Linked DNA regions of Nothobranchius furzeri. The protein of the gene in region 5 interacts with the protein of the main gene of each other region in a pairwise test. Links are inferred from orthologs where the notes say so. Each region holds a gene or a part of one and is shown on either strand. Other genes may lie near its edges. The genes, in order: bag3, mettl17, ppp1r16b, cwf19l2 and sf3b4.

Region 1 (3,211 bases), on a different chromosome or scaffold from region 5:
GCGATGGGGGGTGAATATTGTTGGAGAAGCCCTCTCCCTGGGGGGCTGCATAGCAGCAGAGAAGCCGGGCCAGTCTTCTGTCTGGTGACGGTGGTCCGAGAAGGGAATGCGCTGAGAATAGACCGAGGAGTTTAACTGAGGCTGCGTTTGGCCCCCCCCACCCTCGTGGATCACCGGGATGGGGATGTAACCGAGCTGCAGGCCGGTGCTGCTGGACCGTGGCGGTTGGTGATGGGAGGCAGGGTAAATCTTGAAAACAACAGAGCAGTAACATTTAAATAAAAGGCTAAATGTTTGTAATATTGCTAGATTAGTGGTGGAACTACATTCATAACCTACCTCTGTGACTGGTGAAGCTGGTGAGCTGGCCTTTCCAGGCTCAGTGGTGCAGCTGTCTGAAGGTCCGTGTAAAGGCGATCTGGGTCTGCCGTGGTGGAGCCCAGACGCCGGAGTCTGCACATCCGTCCCGATGTTCTGTGCAAATGATGGCTGGATGTAAGAGTAACACGGATGCTGCGGTTGCCTCACGTCTGATCCCTCATGGACGATTGGGATGGGTATATAACCGGGACGAAGAATGGGGTGCTTCATCTCCCTCACAAAGGTCTTCGGAGGCTCCTGAGGAGTTGGTTCTGCTGGAACGGTGGGCCCATTCGCTGACACTTCTCGACACTGAAACCCAAAGTTGAATGGACAAGACTTAGTGAATTTCAGCTGTTATTGTTTACCTTTTTTAAGAAAAAGTCCTACGTGCAAGCCTTGCAAACCCTCCTGTATATGTAAATATAAAGTCTGGCCACAACCCACAGACAAAACTCAGTCGTGGGGTAGTAACTACACCAACGGCTGCACCTATCAAGTTTGCAGATGACATCACTGTCACAGGACTCATCTGTGATGGGGATGAGTCTGCCTACAGAATGGAGGTCGAGTGGCTGGTGTCCTGGTGCAGCTCCAACAACCCGGTGCTAAATGCACAGACGACAGCGGAGGTTGCTGTGGGCTTTAGGAGCACACGGTACCTCTTCAGTGTGGTATGCTGGAGCTACCAGCAGGAACAAGAAGAAGCTGCAGCGTGTTGTACGCTCTACTGAGAAGCTCACTGGCTGCAAACTCCCCCCCCATACAGGACCTGTACACCTCCAGGACACCGAGGCGTGCAGGTCGGATCACAGCTGACATGTCACCGTGGACACGGTCTTTTTGACTCGCTACCATCTGCCAGGAGAGAAGAACAGTTTCTTCCCCGACTCATGACAATCCTAGGGCTGCCCACTCCAGTCGCTTGGTTTCAGTCACATGACCCTGTGTTGTGTTCGTTCTTGAACTGATCTGCTCTGATCAGTACCTGCACCGTCTTGTACATAGTAGCCATTTCTCTAATTATTGCCACTTTATATTATTATTTTATCATGATTATATTCTTACTTCCTATATTCTCTCATTTTTATCTTTCTTTTTTGCACCAAGTGCCGCAGCGGTTTCCTAATGTTGTGATTTCTCGCATATATGGCAATAAAACCATTCTGATTCTGATCTACGGTTGTCTTTCAAACAATCTGCGCCCAACTTGCTAGGACCAATCAGAACAACGTGACATATTCATCACCACGGTAACCAGTCTGACATTCCGTCAAAGTAGAACAGGCAAATACATCCTTTTCAAATTAAATGACTTAAGTACCTCTATCTGCTCTTGACTCTAAGAAAAGCCCACATCTAAATCGTCCAAAGTTCCTGAGCCGACCCCTAAAGTTTCTTCGTCACCGCTCTGGTGCTAAGCCCGCCCAACGTGTCTACAAATGTAGAACGCTGTGATTGGCTAGACTCAAAACTGATCAGGCCAGTGGTAGACCTGCTGAGGCTTGGTGTGGCTAAACTGACCTGCAGAGCTAAATCTTTAGCTACCGCTCCGGTTTGTGTGGATTTCTAGGCTAACATTTTACTAATTCAGGGCCGTTCATAATAAAAATGGAGGGCACTAAAATTATTTGTCTCTGATAAAGTTGGAATCTTTTTGGTGAAATGCTGAATTTTAAATATTGCCTGATTTTTTTCCACTCAACATCACACGAGCATTTGTAATCTGTTACCATCATGATTTTGTAACTGACCCGGTTAAAAACCTTTTTCCAGCAGCCATCTTGAATTAGACTTACGCCACACGGCGGTTATAGATTGTTGTTTCTAAACATTTGGGGCTGATCTAAAAACGCTAAATTAATTCCAGGATGCATTTGGAAAACAAAATAAACACAATAAAAGTAGAAATTTTTAGAAGCTAATCAACTGAGCTGTGAAAAAAAGAATTGACCCGTTTACAGATTTCTTGTTTTTTCGAACAGTTAAATGTTTCAGAACAACAAACACATTTCAACATCAGAGAAAGTTAAAATGAACAAATACATAATATTATGTATTACTATTATATTATAATTTCATTCATTAAGGGAACTAATCAGTCCAAATCTTAGTTCAGTTCCACCAGCAACACCCAGACCTGCAGGATTAATAAATCAGTTCAATACAACCTGTGTGACAACATGAAGTAGACATCTTGCTGCAACTGGTGGAACCGTGAATTCTGCTCTCTAGCAGAACATCCTGAAGGAGAAATTCTGACCTTTGACCTTAGAGACCACTCATGCAAAAAAAAAAAAAACTCTCCAATGAGGCTGAATTATGAGTGCGTCAAAAAAATCCTCCACAGTGATGAGACCAGTCACAAATGCTTTTTTAAAACTCTTTTTATTTCATTCAAAATTTATAAAATAAACACAAACAAATACATAAACGTAATGAAAAAAAAACATTTGAATGAAAACGAGCACATAACATTCACAATATAACCTTAGTCCCGTTCTACTGTTTATATATAATCATTGACATTTTAGTTTACCTTTTCATAATTACTTAATACATTTGATTTTATACATTTTTAAATATTTATAGCATGTGAGTTTGATTCTTTAATTTCTCTGTTAAGGGCGTTCCACAATCTTACACCATTTACAGAAATATTACATTCTGAATTCAGGTTTACATCAGACATCAGTCCCTTTTAACACGTACCCACTTACTCTCTTATGAAACATTTTCGGAATATTAGTTGGTAAATTACTCGTATTCGCTCTGTACATTATTTACAATATTTTCAAGTCAGGAAATTTCAGTATTTTATTTCTAATGGATAATGGATTAGAGGGATCTC
Region 2 (4,149 bases), on a different chromosome or scaffold from region 5:
TAGCGCTGCTGGAAGTTGCAGGGTGTGATGGGCTCTCGGGCCAGTTTGGGACACATCATCTCATGGGGACACTGAGGAGTAAACAAAAAGAAGCTGCAGCAAAAAATGCAACGCCGCAAACCAAGACTGATGCTTTTCCTTTAACCTACCGGGGCGAACACTCTTGCTGGTCTGGGGTCGTGAACAATCTGCTCTTGTTTCTGTTGTGCAATTTATTAAACTGTCAAAACTTTTACACAGAAACGCCAGGAAAGAACCAAGCGGCAGTTTCACTGGAGTACCTTTAGTAAAGTGTCTCTGGCGTCCATGAGCATCTGATGGCCCTCTTTGGTTCCGTTTTCCACCAGAACCTGAAGGACAAAGTGTGGAAAAATAATGAAACACAGCTTAAAATAAGCTGAATTTTTTTCCACATTTAATTTCTCATGACCTGAGTTTTAATTTCAAGTGCATTTTTAATTTCACCTAGCTATTCTCGATTTGTTGGACCTCAGAAAAATAAAAAAACAAACAATATTGAGAGCATATTATACAAAAACAAAAAAAAACCATTAAAATATTTTTAAAATGTTAAATTACATAAAAAATATTTTAAAAGAGTAATAAAAGCAGGTCTAAGATTAACAGAATCAAATATTACAAGGCAAGAAGCCAATGTCGACACGTGAAGGATAAACACTGGAAAAAACTCAGAAGGCGTAAAAGGAAATATAAAGTTGAATTATTGATCTAACCAACCAGGTAGGAGGATGTTTTTCTCCACAGAGTGATCACAGCATCTTCTCGCTCCTTCACGCTGGGAAGCTCTGACAGAGTGAAAGCAGCCGCCACCAAGTCAAACTGAACCTGAGGAGAGAAACTGGGGAGTCAGATTTGTAGCTTTTATTACCAATTTTAACATAATTAAGTTAATCTGAGATTGCTTTCTCGTGGTAAATCCAGATCAGCATTTCCTCTGTAACAAAACCAAAAACCTGGGATGTTTTACCTTAGGAGAGACGGGAAGAAATCGTCTAAAATAGACGTGTTTGAAAAGAGGTTCAGCCTCCTCCTCATCACCTGCGCAGAAGAAAGCACATTCAGCATCTTCTAAAAAATGTTCTGTTAATGTGACAAATATAACAGATCAACCTTTAAGAAGTCGCTCAGCCAAAACGCTCATAGGCCCAGAGCTGTCCACACACACCATCTCTTTTAAAGAGTCTCCCCAGTGCAAGTGTGATGCCCTTTGAGAGGCAAAAAAACACACACACACTTAACCTCATTTAGACAAAAAGGGTTTTAATTTGCACACTAACCAGGCAACTGTTCCCAATCCTGACCCAAAATCCAGGAGAGATTGAGGAGCAAATGAGGGATCCCTCTTCTTTATCTGAATGAACACAAAAACACATCAGTTTTAATTTAAGAGTGATCAGAGGCACGTACAGGGGCTAAAGTCTTCCACAAATCACTTCATTACCTCATTTAGAGCTCTCGTCACTGCTGCAAAACCTCCAGCAAGCCGCGAGGCCATGTACACCACCCCCAGCTCTTCATCATACCTGAAACACAAAAAGGGCCGGTTACGAACCAAAACTCTCAGATTAAGCTGAGTTCTAAGTTCTGATTACTTCAGGGAATTCCAGTGATATGTAGTTTGTCTGAGCTCTGAGAGAACCCTTTTCCTGATCTGATTCCTCAGCGCTTCCTCGTCAATATCTGCAAAGAGAAACATATTTATTGTCTCCAGGGGCTGCTACATGGATACATCGTTACTTGATCCCACCCTCGCTCACCTCCCATCTTCTGCATGGCTTTCTCCCAGAGTTCTTTCTCCAGACCCAATGCTTTCTGCCTCAGAGTCACGTCCTCAACCATCCGCTTTCGACTCCACAAGTAGTTTATGAGTTTGTGACAGCGATCAGTAAGCTGGGTCACCTGAGCTTCTACACAAAGAAAAAACAAACATGTGGGAAAATTGTCAGTTTTATTTATTATTATTATTATTATTATTATTATTATGGCAGCTAGAGTTGATGACAGCTGATCTCACTTTGAATGACTGACTGTGCAGCAACTTGGAGCTCCTGGGGTAGCCGAAGTGTATTCAGGCTGGTCATACCAGGATGTTTCCTGTGGGGTTCTCCTTTAAGGAAATCTGCTTTGGGCTGTGGGTTAGCAGCAGCACTCACAGTCTGGAATAAATTATTATTACAAAGTGTCAGAATAGGAAAATGAAAAGCAGAGTGGCTGCATTATATGACTTTGTTAGAGTACATAATCGACATATAAAAATATGTGTATGAGGTACATGTTTGTTTGCATATAAATAATTCCAAAAATATACAAAAAATTTATGTAAGGTGTGAAGAAAGCACAGTCTTAGCAAAATATTAAGCAGTACTAGAGAAAAGAAAAATACAGGAAAACAAGGAAATAAGGACATTAGGATAAAAATACTAGTCACTGCAAAACTGTGGAAAGAAATATGAAAACAAATAATTTTATGTAATATTCAAACCGGGCTACTTTTCTACAAACTGACATGTCATTTACAGACCATAAATGTACACAAAACATAAATGACCTCCAGTGAAAATGATGCACTCAAAGACACCTGGTGGAGTACTTACCCTGAACAAAATCTTCACCACAGCCACTCTCTGACTGAGACCACAGGCTTTATAGCTACTTGATGCCATGTTCTCGGTGTCTAAACGGCACTGAAATATTGGTAAACATTTACTTTCATCCACGCTATTGTAAAGCACACCGACCGACTGATTTGCATCAACAAAATAATTCCGGCCACCACTGAAAGTGGAACCATCGAGCCTTAAAGATTTGTTCCTACACGAGGGAAACAAGAAGAGTTCTTTCTCTGATCTTGTTTACAGATACTGGCTAACATTCGGAAACAAATAGCACATAAAAGAAGGATTAGATTAAAAATGTTTGTTTTACCACATATACATCATTAGAAAAATCATTATTTGGTTGTAAACAGATGTATATTGCTGCGTTGCTAACTTCTGTATTCATCGCTAGTTAGTTACGAAGTGCGGCATCTTTTTAATAAACCATCTTCGGTAGGCTTTGCTCTCTACAGGCCTATCCGAAGAAAAGAAAGTTCCCGCCGTGTTTTCTACTGCTTCTCGATTTCTGCTTTTCCTGCTGTTAAATAAACTTGTTTTGATACACAAACATGAGGCGAACCAGAAGTTCGAGAAATAAAAGCCAGCGCGCACAAGAAAACCACGAAGTCCCGTCAAAAACAGGTTGGTGTTTGCTTTTAGCACATCATGGAAGGAAGCAGTGTAGCCATTAAACATGCCCGGACAGAGAATTAGGTTTTATTTTCATCTTCACAATTCTTTGGTAACTATGTCCTGCACTACCTATTACTTATATTTGACAACATTTGTGTTTTAACTAATTGAATCAAAACTTGGCGCGAAAACTGGTGAAAAGCACGAATATTAAGCAGTTCTGGAGGAAATCACTAGAATAAAGTGACTCACTGCTACATTTAATTAATTTAGTAATAACTAAAGCCTCGTTTGAGTGTAGAAAAACAATATAATGGCTCTGCAAAGTCCAGTTGATTAACACATCTTTGTTTAAAAAGTAGTAAAAAGAAACTACATAATTACATTTAATGAATGAAATCAACTCAGGGCAGAAATTTGATGTTTAGAAATTGATTCATGTTTTATAAAGTCATATCAGTATTTTATAGTTCATAAAAGGTCTGTTGTGGAATATTATTTTCAGTTTTTCCTATAATGCAGCACTTAAACAACTGTTTTACTGTTTTCTGGCTCTGTTTGTGATCACAGTGTGGCAGTGGAAAGGAGATGAAGGACAGTGGGAATCGTACCCGCCTACAGCCTGTGCCTTGCTTGATTCAGCCATTTCTTCAGGGAGGACATCCGTCACTCTGACTCTTGGCTCGGGGGCAGCATATGAAGTGGATTTGAAGAAGATGGTCCAGATTAACCCTGTGACGAAATACAAGAGAAAAATCCGCTCCAAGACTGTAAAAACAGGTGTTTTTTATTTATAGAAATCAATTCAGACTGAAGATGGCAAGACACATTATTTGTTGATCGTACATTTGTTTTTTGTTGTTTGTTTTATAAGAGAGTTTACAGGAAGCTGATGATG
Region 3 (4,128 bases), on a different chromosome or scaffold from region 5:
GTGTGTGTGTGTGTGTGTGTGTGTGTGTGTGTGTGTGTGTGTGTGTGTGTGTGTGTGTGTGGTTGAGGGGGAGGGTTATTGTGGTTATTGTTTTATTTTCTGTACAGCACTTCGAGTTGCCTTTGGTATGAAAAGTGCTTTATAATTAAAAATTGACATGACAAATTTTTCAACGACTTTGCATATTTCTAGATCAGGGATTCTCAAAGTGTGGTGCGCGCACCCCTGGGGGTGCACGAGCTGCCGCTAGGGGGTGCGCGAGGTGAAAAGTGTAATGGCTGCGGAGCTCAGAGAAGATTGTCATATGTCACCATTAGCGTAGCCAGAAACTCTTATATGGGTGGGCCAAAGAAAAAGTAAGTGGGCACAATAAATGTAATTGAAAACAAGTATATTTTTGCGCGCGTGCGCGTCCTCCACATGTGCCCTAGCTTCATAATAACAATGCGCTGAGCTTCAGCACTCTGGCCTGCGCACGCCGATATGTTCAGTATTTGATCATTTTTAACGGTGTTGGAGGAATCTGAAGGTGGTGAGTCATTCTGGCAGATTGTAATTAACACCTGTCTCACACAGGTGTTCTGACATTGTAAACCTCACACACAGAACATTGTGGATGAAACAATATAACAAGAAATGATTCCCATTCAGGCTATTAACAGCGCGCTGAAGATCTGAAGTTCAGAGTGCGTCGGTCAGAGGTCAGACGCGTTCCAGCGGAATCACGGCTCACGGATGCACAAGTGAGCACATCTGGGCTGGGCAGAAGTCATTTTACAACATTGGTTTAAATAGCGCGAGAAGCGGTGACTTGAGCGGCTGTGCCGCGCGTGCGTGCGCACACACACATACACACAGATTCAATAAGCGCACACGCTGCTTTAACTCCGGCGCGCCGTCAGACTGAAGGCAGAAATGAACGCTGCCTCCACCGTGATAAAAACTTTTAAGAGGTTATTTTTCATTCAAGGTCAAATTAAGATATTAGCTTCTGGGATGAGTCGGGTCCACTACAGCCAGTGACTCCTCATGAACCTGACCACAAGTCCTGTTACTGCACCATTTGTTACTCCAGTCAGCGTGGCAGCGGATCGCAGATTCAGCCACACCATAAAACAGCAATAAGTCGGTCTGAGGTAAAAGTGAACATCATGGCTATATCTTGTCCCCTATTGACATTTGATTACGCACAAGTAGGTGATCAGTTCAGGTTTACGCAGAGCAGAAGGAAGGAGAGCGCTCTGGCCGCACAGGTTAAACGTTCCTACTTTAAGAAAACTGTTAAATTGCATTTTTTATGTGCTACCTGGGCACTCTTAATATTTATTTAAAATTAAATCAAAGGAAATTGTAATGGTATCGAATGTTTATTAATTACTATTTAAAAAATGAAAGTGATGGGGAATTTTTTTAACCCTGTCTGTTTAGCTTGACATCTGATATATATATATATATATATATATATATACATATATATATACACATATATATACACATATATATATACATATATATATATATATATATATATATATATATATATATATATATATAGAGCCATGCTCCAATGTGGGGGCTGGGGGGGGGGGGTGCGTCGACATGGTCGGGACATAGAAGGGGGTGCGCGGCTAAATAAGTTTGGGAACCACTGTTCTAGATAATGTGGTGGTAAAGCAAAAATGACTTCCTGTCCAACCATCTTTGAACGTGAAAACATTAAAGAGGAGAATTCCCCCGTGGCACAGCAGCCAAATAACAACCTTTAAAATGTTGCTGAAATCACTTCCAAAACAATGTGACACTGCAGCATGTTGGGTGCATCCTGCACACGCCCAGCTCACGCCTGTTTACCCTAGAATCACCGCAGCCTTGTGGAGGTATCTGTATCTGCAGCGACACTGCTGTGGGCCATTTTTATTCTGGTAAAAGACTTCAAACCAATTTCATGTTAAAGTGATGTTAAATAAGACACCATATAAGAGAGAAAGCAGCGTTTTGACATCGCAGCATCACAAAAACATAGCCAAGGCCCCATGGAACTGCCTCTACAGGAGGAAAACAATTATTATCTTCTAACAGGGGGGCAGTATGCACAGCATTTTCAATTAAAAGACTGGCAGAGTTTCATCTCGGTGTGACAAGTCCATTATTTCCCCAGCGATAAAACGGTCATGTAGCAGAACAAATTTGGTTTGAATGGAGTGACTTGGGCTGCTTGAGTGGGAAGGCAGAGCTAATCGTTTTCATAACCTTGGCATTTGGATATCTGGGAGGGGGAATGACGGGAGGCTGGTATTAACGTAGTTATTCATGTGCTGCAACAAAACAACAAAATACCCAAAATGCATTTGTGCTTTAGGAATAAATAAACTATGTTTATAATATATTACAAACCTTCATCTGGGTCATTCCTGGCCGACGCTTCCAGAAGCGCCACGCTGGCAGCGAATGACACTCGCCTCCTGAACTCTGACTGCTGCAGGTTGTTGCCGTTTCGTCCCTTCCTATCCGCCTTTCGCTTCTTGTTCTGCATCTCCTTCTCGTAGACGGCCCACCTCTTCAGCTGCTGGGTCCGGCGCTTCTGGGCCGCCCGCAGCCTCTCTAGACTTGGCACCTTGTCCAGCTGCTGCAGCTCCTGGATCAGCTCTAGGTGGCTGGCCATGGTACTAGGTGGGATGGACAGCAGTGGTGGATGAAGACGATGATGATGGTGAAGAGGTGAGACGATGGAGATCGTGCAACTCTAGCGAGGTCTGGACCGTCGGCTGTGGCCTCCACCTTTTATCCTCACCATCTTTCTTTCAGCACCTGTGAAACACCTGGAAGAAGACATGCAGAGATATAAACATTTGTCTTATCATCCTTTTTATTTTACTCACAATGTTAACTGGATTTTACACGAATGTTTTAAAATATTAAACCAAATTCTCTCAGGAAGTGTTGCTTCAGTTCAACAGTAAAGAGCAACAATTTAGAGCTAAGCTACTAAACTGGCAAGAGCTACTCTCAATCGGTCTGCTCCCTGCCAAATAGCACCAGACTCAGACAAAACTGCAGTCCCTTTTCTCACAAATTCTCACCATTCTTGCATTACTTTGAACCATTTTTACACCATACATAAATTCAAGTTTGCAGGACAAAATCAACTTCCTGAAAATGGCGCTAAATCTTTCCGTTTGAAACCAGAGGATTGATCAAAGCGGACACAGTTTTCCATTTGCTTCGTGAGCTGCTATAGATCTGTCTACCATCCACCATCAAGGTTAACCGCTTCCTTAAAGCTGCAAGCAAAGAGAAAAACTGATGAGAAGGAGGGGTGAAGTGTTGGGCCAATGAGCTGAAAAGGGGATTTCTGTGCATTTCTGCTCTACATTTTTGCACCCTTTATAACAGCAGTCATAAACAAATCGTCCTTACACGTGTAGGACATTTGAAACACACTTTATGAAGTAACATCAGTCTACTTGAGAGCCCTCAAGTATCAAAAGCCCAATAGAAAAATGCAAAAACAAAAGCCCTCATTGCTTTTTAAATGAAAACATGAACGCCTCTTGCATGAAAAGTTTCCTCATGTTTGTAGCCTTCCACTACAGGAGCCGCGTTGTCCTGCAGCACCGTCTGATGAAACACTTCACGAAGCACCGCGCTGCCACTTCCAGACTGCCACCATGCTCACGCTATATTTCCTCTGCAGCTCATACCCAAGCTGTTAAAAAACACGGACAGGAAACAAGCAGAACAATCACTTACTACAGCATCTTTTTCCATCATCGGTTTACCGGCGCTGAGAGTTTCTGTTTGTGTCAAAGTTCATCTGATTTCACAACGAGCGCAAAGATGAGACAGCCCTTCCACGGGAGAACACGTGAAATTAATGAATAGTTGACTTTTCAGCATCAACATCTAAGATAAAATAGAACAACAGTTTGAGATGGGGTCAGCTCCGTGAAAGAAGCGCGTGCTGTGAGAATCTTTAATGCAGCTAATGATTTGTAACGGCTGGGTCACGACCCAGAGGGTGATCACAAGAGGATTAGCAGCAGGGTGTCCAATTTATCCTTCAGCTGTCGGTACATTTTTGTTTTCCATCTGAGAGTTTTGACTCAGACAGCCCGACATCGTTGACGG
Region 4 (4,018 bases), on a different chromosome or scaffold from region 5:
TGTTGGTACATTGGATTACTAACATTAACTTATTTTTATGTTGCTGACTGTGTTCAGTGCATTCCTAATTAGTTGTCATTTGCAATGATAGGGAAGTAACCATCTTTTGGAAACAAGAAGTTGTGTTTTTTCCATGCACAGCAATAGCGATGCTTTTCATTGTTGAATTAAAAGCAATGTGACATTTACCTCTGGGGGTGTTCCAAAAAGGGTACTTCACCGTTCGATTCGATTTAGATTATGGGAGCTTCGATGCTTCGATTATAATGATTTTTGGTTCGATTCGATTACTGGTGCCACGATTCTTCGATTATTGACATTTTTAATGCTTTTTTCATACAAGATTGTCTTCTTCTTTATCTACATTTGTAAATAATTAACCTATCAATTAATTCAGTTCCTCTAAAACTACTCTCTGTAAGTAAATACATTTTTTTAACATTTAACTATTTTTCAAAGACAAATTCTTATTTTATGACTGTATGACGTGTAAATATTTGCACTTTGACCAACTTAACTTCGATCAGGGAAAGCTTTACTTACACTAGTGTCCCCTCCATTGTTGGGAAACACTGAAAACAGGCAAGCCCTGGATTTAATGAGGTAATTAATTCAAGTAAACAAGATTTTTACTTCCATCAAATTTATTTAATGGAAACTTATGAGTCTGGCATATGATAACATTACAAAAAAAGCTGCCATACAGATCAAATAAATAAATTCAGCTTATTCAGTCTGGAATATAGGTAACAGAAAAAACCTGCTATATTTGAAGGTAATATGTTGTATTTTTTCAGAACAAAAGTGCATAATTCAACTGAACATATATTCAGCCTGGAGCTTCAGTACAGTGAGGCGAACACAACAAAATCACAACATGCCCTATAGGTTAAAAAAAATAAATTGTAAGTCGCTTTGGGTAAAAGCGTCTGCTAAGCACATAAACAACATAAACAACATAAACAACATAAAATAGAGCAGAGTGACACTCATACTCCCTCTCCTCCCTCTTGTTCCCCTACATCCTCCTGTTGTGTGAGATGGGCAAATGTCAACATTGTGCTACTTTGACTCTCACTCATCTCTCGAGTTTGAAGAACGTGACTCACCAACTTCCACCCGTTCTTGTCCGACGCAAGAACAAAATGCGCCGTTACAGTAACGAAGGATTTGGTGGCAACCGATGTCCACGCATCGCATGTGAGCGCTATCCCGGTTGCCTTCTTCATGGACTCCAGAACGCTTGCTTTGGTTTCCTTGTAGAGGTGGGGGGCTTCTTTTTCTGCAAAGTGTTTTTGGTGAGGAAGTTTGTAGCGCGGCTCCATGGTGCGCACCACTAACCGAAACCCCCTGTTGTTTACTGCTGAATACGGGTGTAGATCCGTCGCGATTACAGTAGCTATTGCTTTTGTAATGCTCCTCGCCTTCTCTGAGTTCTTCGGTAGTTTGGAGACAGTCTCCAAGATGGAGAAAGAGGTCAAAGAGTTAGTGCCACTCACTAAACAGTCCGGGCGGCGCGCGTTAAGGCTCCGGTTACGTTTTTTTTTTTAAGTACCGGCTTCGCAACAAAACTTTGATGTTATGTTTTTTTAAGCATTGACGTTCATTAATCGATGCCGAAACAACATGTTAAGCTTTTAGATGCATCGCCACATCGATTAATTGCACCCACCCCTACTTACCTCCTCTATCTGCTGCAGCCTCTGGTTGACTTCAGGGAGAATCCAAGTATCTTCTCCTCTCAGCCTCTTCAGCTCCTTCCTCCTCTCCTCCTTCTCATATTGCTGCTTTGCCTGTTGGCCCGCATAGAAATATGAACAGAAACAAAATATTACTATTACACATACATTTAGATTGCATCAGAGGACCAATTTACGTGTCCAATTTATGTCTCCCTTCTCATTTTCTCCTCCACATTCCCAGAGATGTAAAAATGTATTTCTGGAAGATCTGCTGGTCTGACATTAATGATAAAACATGTAAACCAAGAAAACAAAGATTCAGTTAAGCAGTTTCTATTTTGTTGACATCTACCTCCTCTACTCTAAAAGGTGAGGTGTAAAGGAGAAGATCGTTTGAAAAGACAAGTTGACAACACTGAGCTCCTAAACCACACTGAGCCATTTCCTCTTTAAAACTTAGCTTCATAAATCAGATCCAGCCACCATTATGACTTTGGTCAATTCAGACACAGGTGAGCTAAATAGATAGTGTGTGTGTGTGTGTGTGTGTGTGTGTGTGTGTGTGTGTGTGTGTGTGTGTGTGTGTGTGTGTGTGTGTGTGTGTGTAGCTGCTTAGCAGAAACAGATAACATGCAACTGTAAAATTGTGTACATAAGTGCTGACAACCTGCTCTAATCCAAACACTCACTGGGCATGGTAAATAACTGAGACAAATACAACACAAATTAAAGGCAGCTCTGCTATCTGTCCGAGTCAGTGTTTGACTCGTAATTTCCTGTCCGGATACATCTTCAAGGTAGTACACATCAGCAGAATGATATACAGATATGATGTACCCAAACGTTAAAATGCTAGCTGTTAGCCTTCTTAGCGTGTTAGCTTATACTCAGAAACTCGGGGTACGATTTAAACCGTAACTAACACAACGAAATAGCCTTTTGTTACACGTGAATCTTGCTTTTCCAAAGCAAACGCGTACCTTTTCTAGCACCTCTTCTCGCGACTGCCTCTTTTTCTCTTTCTTTTCGTCGATGCTGCTCGAACTCTCAAAACTAACACCATACGTCGCCATGACACCGTCGTGAATGTTTTGTCAACTGTCGTAAAGCAACGCAGTTTACGTCAACTGAGGACTTGTGGCTCATAGTGCAAAAGGACCAAGGACAGGCGCATCAATTTAAATAATATGAAAAAAAATATATATATTTTCTTATAGAACTTAAATAATATATTTACTTATAAAATATTATAAACACAACTAATATATCTATCTATCTATCTATCTATCTATCTCTCTCTCTCTCTCTCTCTCTCTCTCTCTCTCTCTATATATATATATATATATATATATATATATATATATATAATGTTCTAAAAAAATTTAACGGTCACCTCTGTTAAAAAAAAGTCTTGGAGTGAGATTTTCTTTATTTAGTGTGTGTGTGTGTGTGTGTGTGTGTGTGTGTGTGTATGTGTGTAAAGCTGCTTAGCAAAAAAAGATAACATGCAGCTGTAAAATTGTGTTCATAAGTGATTACAACCTGCTATAATCCACACTGGGCATTTGGCACATTGTGTTTAATACATTTTGCCTGTGTCTTTTCACTTTATTACACATAAATCAATTAATTGACTTAAATGTTTAGATGTCTTTGCATGAATTAAATACTTGAGGTGATGTTGACATGTGGTGGAAAGTTTGTGTCAATAGCCCACTTAGAAAAACCATTACTGATAAAAATGCTGATGTGTCAAATACTTATTCTCCTCTATTTGACTTTGATGTGATGTCTATGTGCTGAACTGAAACATTGGGACAGCAGTAGCTCAGGAGGTAGAGGGAGTTGTCCGGCAATCCGAAGACTGCAGGTTCGATCCCAGCTTCAACCAGAGAATGCTGCTGTTTTGTCCTTGGGCAAGACACTTAACCCACTTTTCCTGCTGGTGGTGGTCAGATGAACCAGCAGCACCAGTGTTCAGCAGGTCTTGCCTGTTAGTGTACCCCAGGGCAGCTGTGGCTACACTGTAGCTCATCACGATGTTGTAAAGCGCCTTAGGGGGTTGTAGAACCCTAAGAAGGTGCTATACAAATACAGGCCATGTACCACTGTGTAAAAATAAAAAAACTGAAGGTATGTGAATGCAATCAGATCTGTCACTAGGTACGAATCATACATTCTGGTTATTATATTTAGAATGCAATTACATATATTAAAGATGTTCCCCAAATCCACAGTCACATCAAGTAATGACTGCTAGGGAAATGCAAAATAAAGGCACAAGAAATTGTTTTGTCATATCCAAGATCAATTTTTTATTTCCGGTCCATATTTTA
Region 5 (4,178 bases):
CTATTCTAAGCTTCTGTTGATTAATTGACTATTCCATCCGACAACGTTTCAAGCGAAAAAAAACTGGTTTACTGCTAAAAAATATGAAATAAAACAACAAAATTATCAGGCTGAAGTATATAAAAGGCTCAATAATATGCATTATGGTTTCGTCCATCATGAACAGCCCCCCTCCTTCCACTCTCACTGAGACTTCTTTGCTTCGTTCAAAAGAGCCAGTCTTTTGAGCGGCCCTTTGAAGACGTAATTATTTTTATTTTTATGAGCTTTACTATCTATTTGTGGTATAACGGTTTGTGACTAAATGCATTATGGGATACTTTTCTGGTCCAAGTCCAAAGATGGATACTTTATTGTAATGGGTGAAGGACGAACACATCCAGGAACTTTGAGCGTACTTGCCATGATGCGTACTTGGTATTGGAACAGTACACGGGCTAACGCCAATGACATTTCACAATTAATATAGTACACACGTTTAAACAAGTACTCATATTGCAAAACAGCCTATAACTTGTTTTTTTTAATTAGTCTAAACCTTTCTCTTTCTGTGGTCTTTGGTGATTGCCAAGCAACACTTCCTAACCAGGAAGCAACTTGGTTCGCTCCCTGCTAGCCAAACTATCTCTAAGTATCATGACAGTGCTATACTTTCTCATATTTATGCCATAATGTCAAATTATTTCTTTATTATGTGACAAATATTATGAAGGTTAAAAGAAGGCGATTGTGTTTATGAACACCGGGTTTTAGTGAATCAGCTTGTGAAATATGTGTTGCATTATTTGGTTTGTGTTGTGAAATTCTGTTCTCGTTTTAGGGGCCAAAAAAAGAAAATGTAATAAGTGTATTTGAGCAGGTTTAATGAGTGAGCCTGGAGGTCTTTAATTTTGTTTATTTTTAAGGTTTACTTTTTAAAATAAAGTTCAGTAGATGTATTTTTCTTCACAAGCCATTAATTATTCTCAGCTCTTTCAGTTATTTTAATGACTATTATCTATGAAGGCTCCCTTACTGATGCTTATTTTAAATTCATTTTATAAACAGCTTTGGCAACAGTTTTATTTTTTGTCTTTGGTGCATGATGTTAGTTTCTATTTTTAATGTGTGTTTTATATATATATATATATATATATATAAAAAATAGTTACTTTCTAAAATTTTTGAGACCCTAAATGTGTGTATTTTCTATGAACACTTTGTATTCCATGTTTATACCTTTAGTATATTTATATGTATATGAAATAAATCAAATAATAAAAATAATTGTGGCTTTGTTTTGAATTTGTTGTTAATGGTTAAGTGCCATACAACTAAAAATATCCCAGAAAAAACTATCAAATCAATTCAAATGAAACTTAGTGATTTTGATTGCCTTTCAAGTTTTTAATTAACATTCATTTATTTGCTGTCTTTTTTTGTTTAGGAATGTCTGGGTCTTTAGTGTAATCAGAGTATAACAATTTTTTATGTAACTACAAAAACAGAAGAATTAGTTTATTTTTACTTTAATTTATTTGATCTTATTTTATTTTGTTGGGTTTTACCGGAAGAGGCGGGCCTTCCCTTCACAACGCTCTCCCAGCGTTGGTCATTCAACATGGCAGCGGGACCAATTTCAGAAAGAAACCAAGGTAATTTCATTGTTTAAATGGTTTAACGCTTACACCTTCATTATTTAGCGATATCTCTTGATTTATAACAATTGAAATTCTTATCCGCTCTTTCCCACCAATGTTAGCTGTCTAATTAGCCCGTGTTTTGGGGGTAAATGCGTACTCAAACACATGGAAGTCTCCGGTCTCGTTAGCCTAGCTTCTAGCTAAGTTAGCCGTTTTTTGTTTATTTTAATTGTATTACTTAATGCTTGTATTACTTAATGCTTGACTTCACGATAGCATACGGGAGTTTTATGTTGTTTATTTGAAATGCAGAGATTATTCCAAGTCAGGACTAGAACCACTAAACAACTAAAGTTAGCCTTAAAAACTCGCGACATTAGCATGTAGCAATGCTCACCTATCAATGTAAACACCGTTTTCCTTAATAGGTATTTTCTTGTGTTTCCAGATGCCACCGTGTATGTCGGTGGTTTGGATGAGAAGGTGTCAGAGCCGTTGCTATGGGAGCTTTTTCTGCAGGCTGGCCCTGTTGTCAACACACACATGCCCAAAGATCGGGTCACAGGTCAACATCAAGGTGAGAATCAGGCTATTCAAGATGGGATGAAAGTCCTAAAATTCACTGTAACAATGTACATAACAAATGAAACTGTTCCACTCAGGTTATGGATTTGTGGAGTTCCTCAGTGAGGAAGATGCTGACTATGCCATTAAAATCATGAACATGATTAAGCTCTACGGCAAACCGATTCGCGTGAATAAGGCCTCCGCCCACAACAAAAACCTGGATGTTGGCGCTAATATCTTCATCGGGAACTTGGACCCGGAGATCGATGAAAAACTGCTCTACGACACGTTCAGTGCTTTTGGCGTTATTCTACAAACTCCAAAGATCATGCGAGACCCAGACACCGGCAACTCCAAGGGTTACGCCTTCATCAACTTTGCCAGCTTTGATGCGTCCGACGCCGCCATCGAGGCCATGAATGGCCAGTACCTGTGCAACCGGCCCATCACTGTGTCGTACGCGTTCAAGAAAGATTCTAAAGGAGAACGCCATGGCTCAGCGGCAGAGCGACTGCTAGCTGCACAAAACCCTCTCTCGCAGGCAGACAGGCCACATCAGCTGTTTGCAGATGCTCCGCCCCCACCATCTGCACAGACGCCACTCCTAACCGCAATGGGCCCCGGGATTCCTCTTCATGGTATGACTGCTCTAATCTTAACTGCCGATAAAGAAGTACCTTTCTACATTTATTGGGTTAATTATATAATAGTTTTGTTTTTTTTTTTGCGCAGGTTTGCCGCCTCCTGGTGCCTTTCCTCACGTTCCTCCCCCTGGATCAATGCCTCCAACGATGCCCCCTTCTATGGGCATGCCTCCATCAGCAGGGACACCAGGTCCTCCATCTTCTCTTGGTGGACCTCCAGCTGTTCCTCCACCTTTCGCACCGGCCAGCATGCCTCCAGGTATAACTCGGTTGCAGAAAAGCCTGAAAATTTAAGTCTCTGCTCCCCATTTTAGCTTTAAGAAGTCCAATAACGATTAATAAAATTGTGCAGGATCAACCTCAGTCATCTCCTTCAAATGTGAAGAAATAAAAACAATAATGTTTCAATTTAAATGTCAGGTTATTAAAATGCAGCTGTTAGCCCTGAATGAGTTATTTTTATTTGTTTGATCCGGGCCCACAGGTATGCCTCAGATGCCCATGCCGCCTGCTCCTCCTGGCATGGTGCCTCCACCTGCTCCACCAGGATCGGCTCGAGCTCCACCGCCCCCCAGCATGCCCCCACCTCCTATGGGCATGCCTCCCAGAGCACCGTATGGACCCCCCATGGGTGAGCACTGTGGCATTTTCTCAAAAATACAATTTTTTTTAAATGAAAGTTGTTTTTAACCTGTTATTTCTTTTTTTTTTTTTTTTTTTCCCAAGCCCACCCTGTGCCTCCAGGTATGAGAGGACCTCCCCCCATGCCTCCTCCCGGCTATGGTGCCGTTCCTCCTCGTCCACCTCCTTTTGGTTTCCAGAGAGCACCTCCAATGCCACCAAGACCTCCCGGTGCCCCTCCTCGGGTCCCTTGAGAGCACCAAGAGCTCCGTGATCCACGTCAGACCACAGGAACATTCAGCTTGTTGTTTTTTTAAATACATGTTTCGATCTACTGGATTTTGTTATCTTGGAAGTAATTTAACCAACTGTTTTTGATTTATGCTCATTGTACAGATAAACAGAAAATTGGCAAATAAACATTTTAGTACAACTTTTGGATATTTTTGCGTTTAATTATTACTAATAAACTTGTAATGTACCAGAAATTAGTTTATGAGTAAAAGCTGCATAATAAGCAGGTGAGAGAGTAATATGTTCTAATTTATGTCCAAAAGGTATTTATAACTTGAGGCAGGGGCCCCAGTAGGTCATATACTCTCAGGTATTATGGTTTTATTTAAAAAGTAAAGTGATATTCCCTACTGTTGGGATTAAAATCCAAAAATATTTTTAAAAGAATTTTTTTAAAATGTTTTCTTTGGACATTTATTGCTCTACAAAA

Evidence for each region.
Region 1: the proteins of sf3b4 (region 5) and bag3 interact in binary tests that used the Homo sapiens proteins (3 or more experiments, as listed by UniProt). The two-hybrid records come from large-scale screens. The link is inferred for Nothobranchius furzeri from reciprocal best matches to the Homo sapiens genes SF3B4 and BAG3.
Region 2: the proteins of sf3b4 (region 5) and mettl17 interact in binary tests that used the Homo sapiens proteins (3 or more experiments, as listed by UniProt). The link is inferred for Nothobranchius furzeri from reciprocal best matches to the Homo sapiens genes SF3B4 and METTL17.
Region 3: the proteins of sf3b4 (region 5) and ppp1r16b interact in binary tests that used the Homo sapiens proteins (3 or more experiments, as listed by UniProt). The two-hybrid records come from large-scale screens. The link is inferred for Nothobranchius furzeri from reciprocal best matches to the Homo sapiens genes SF3B4 and PPP1R16B.
Region 4: the proteins of sf3b4 (region 5) and cwf19l2 interact in binary tests that used the Homo sapiens proteins (3 or more experiments, as listed by UniProt). The two-hybrid records come from large-scale screens. The link is inferred for Nothobranchius furzeri from reciprocal best matches to the Homo sapiens genes SF3B4 and CWF19L2.

Annotation. Positions count from the first base shown.
Region 1 is NC_091752.1:5,539,776-5,542,986, forward strand, and holds part of bag3 (BAG family molecular chaperone regulator 3), read right to left. Parts: intron 673-3,211; coding exon 340-672; intron 250-339; coding exon 1-249. UniProt on the Homo sapiens protein: Co-chaperone and adapter protein that connects different classes of molecular chaperones including heat shock proteins 70 (HSP70s), e.g. HSPA1A/HSP70 or HSPA8/HSC70, and small heat shock proteins (sHSPs), e.g. HSPB8.
Region 2 is NC_091751.1:41,153,257-41,157,405, forward strand, and holds the start of mettl17 (ribosome assembly protein METTL17, mitochondrial), read right to left. Parts: upstream 2,811-4,149; 5' UTR 2,685-2,810; coding exon 2,616-2,684; intron 2,178-2,615; coding exon 2,036-2,177; intron 1,929-2,035; coding exon 1,779-1,928; intron 1,702-1,778; coding exon 1,614-1,701; intron 1,545-1,613; coding exon 1,463-1,544; intron 1,373-1,462; coding exon 1,299-1,372; intron 1,227-1,298; coding exon 1,132-1,226; intron 1,060-1,131; coding exon 989-1,059; intron 847-988; coding exon 739-846; intron 351-738; coding exon 282-350; intron 201-281; coding exon 150-200; intron 72-149; coding exon 1-71. Other genes in the region: parp2 (poly [ADP-ribose] polymerase 2), read left to right, coding at 3,188-3,260, 3,822-4,031, 4,126-4,149. UniProt on the Homo sapiens protein: Mitochondrial ribosome (mitoribosome) assembly factor. Binds at the interface of the head and body domains of the mitochondrial small ribosomal subunit (mt-SSU), occluding the mRNA channel and preventing compaction of the head domain towards the body.
Region 3 is NC_091743.1:61,148,145-61,152,272, reverse strand, and holds the start of ppp1r16b (protein phosphatase 1 regulatory inhibitor subunit 16B), read right to left. Parts: upstream 2,808-4,128; 5' UTR 2,663-2,807; coding exon 2,395-2,662; intron 1-2,394. UniProt on the Homo sapiens protein: Regulator of protein phosphatase 1 (PP1) that acts as a positive regulator of pulmonary endothelial cell (EC) barrier function. Involved in the regulation of the PI3K/AKT signaling pathway, angiogenesis and endothelial cell proliferation.
Region 4 is NC_091753.1:35,505,595-35,509,612, forward strand, and holds the start of cwf19l2 (CWF19-like protein 2), read right to left. Parts: upstream 2,812-4,018; 5' UTR 2,756-2,811; coding exon 2,663-2,755; intron 1,794-2,662; coding exon 1,683-1,793; intron 1-1,682.
Region 5 is NC_091759.1:1,629,958-1,634,135, forward strand, and holds sf3b4 (splicing factor 3B subunit 4), read left to right. Parts: upstream 1-1,365; 5' UTR 1,366-1,600; coding exon 1,601-1,634; intron 1,635-2,070; coding exon 2,071-2,199; intron 2,200-2,284; coding exon 2,285-2,827; intron 2,828-2,921; coding exon 2,922-3,092; intron 3,093-3,317; coding exon 3,318-3,464; intron 3,465-3,559; coding exon 3,560-3,708; 3' UTR 3,709-3,887; downstream 3,888-4,178. UniProt on the Homo sapiens protein: Component of the 17S U2 SnRNP complex of the spliceosome, a large ribonucleoprotein complex that removes introns from transcribed pre-mRNAs.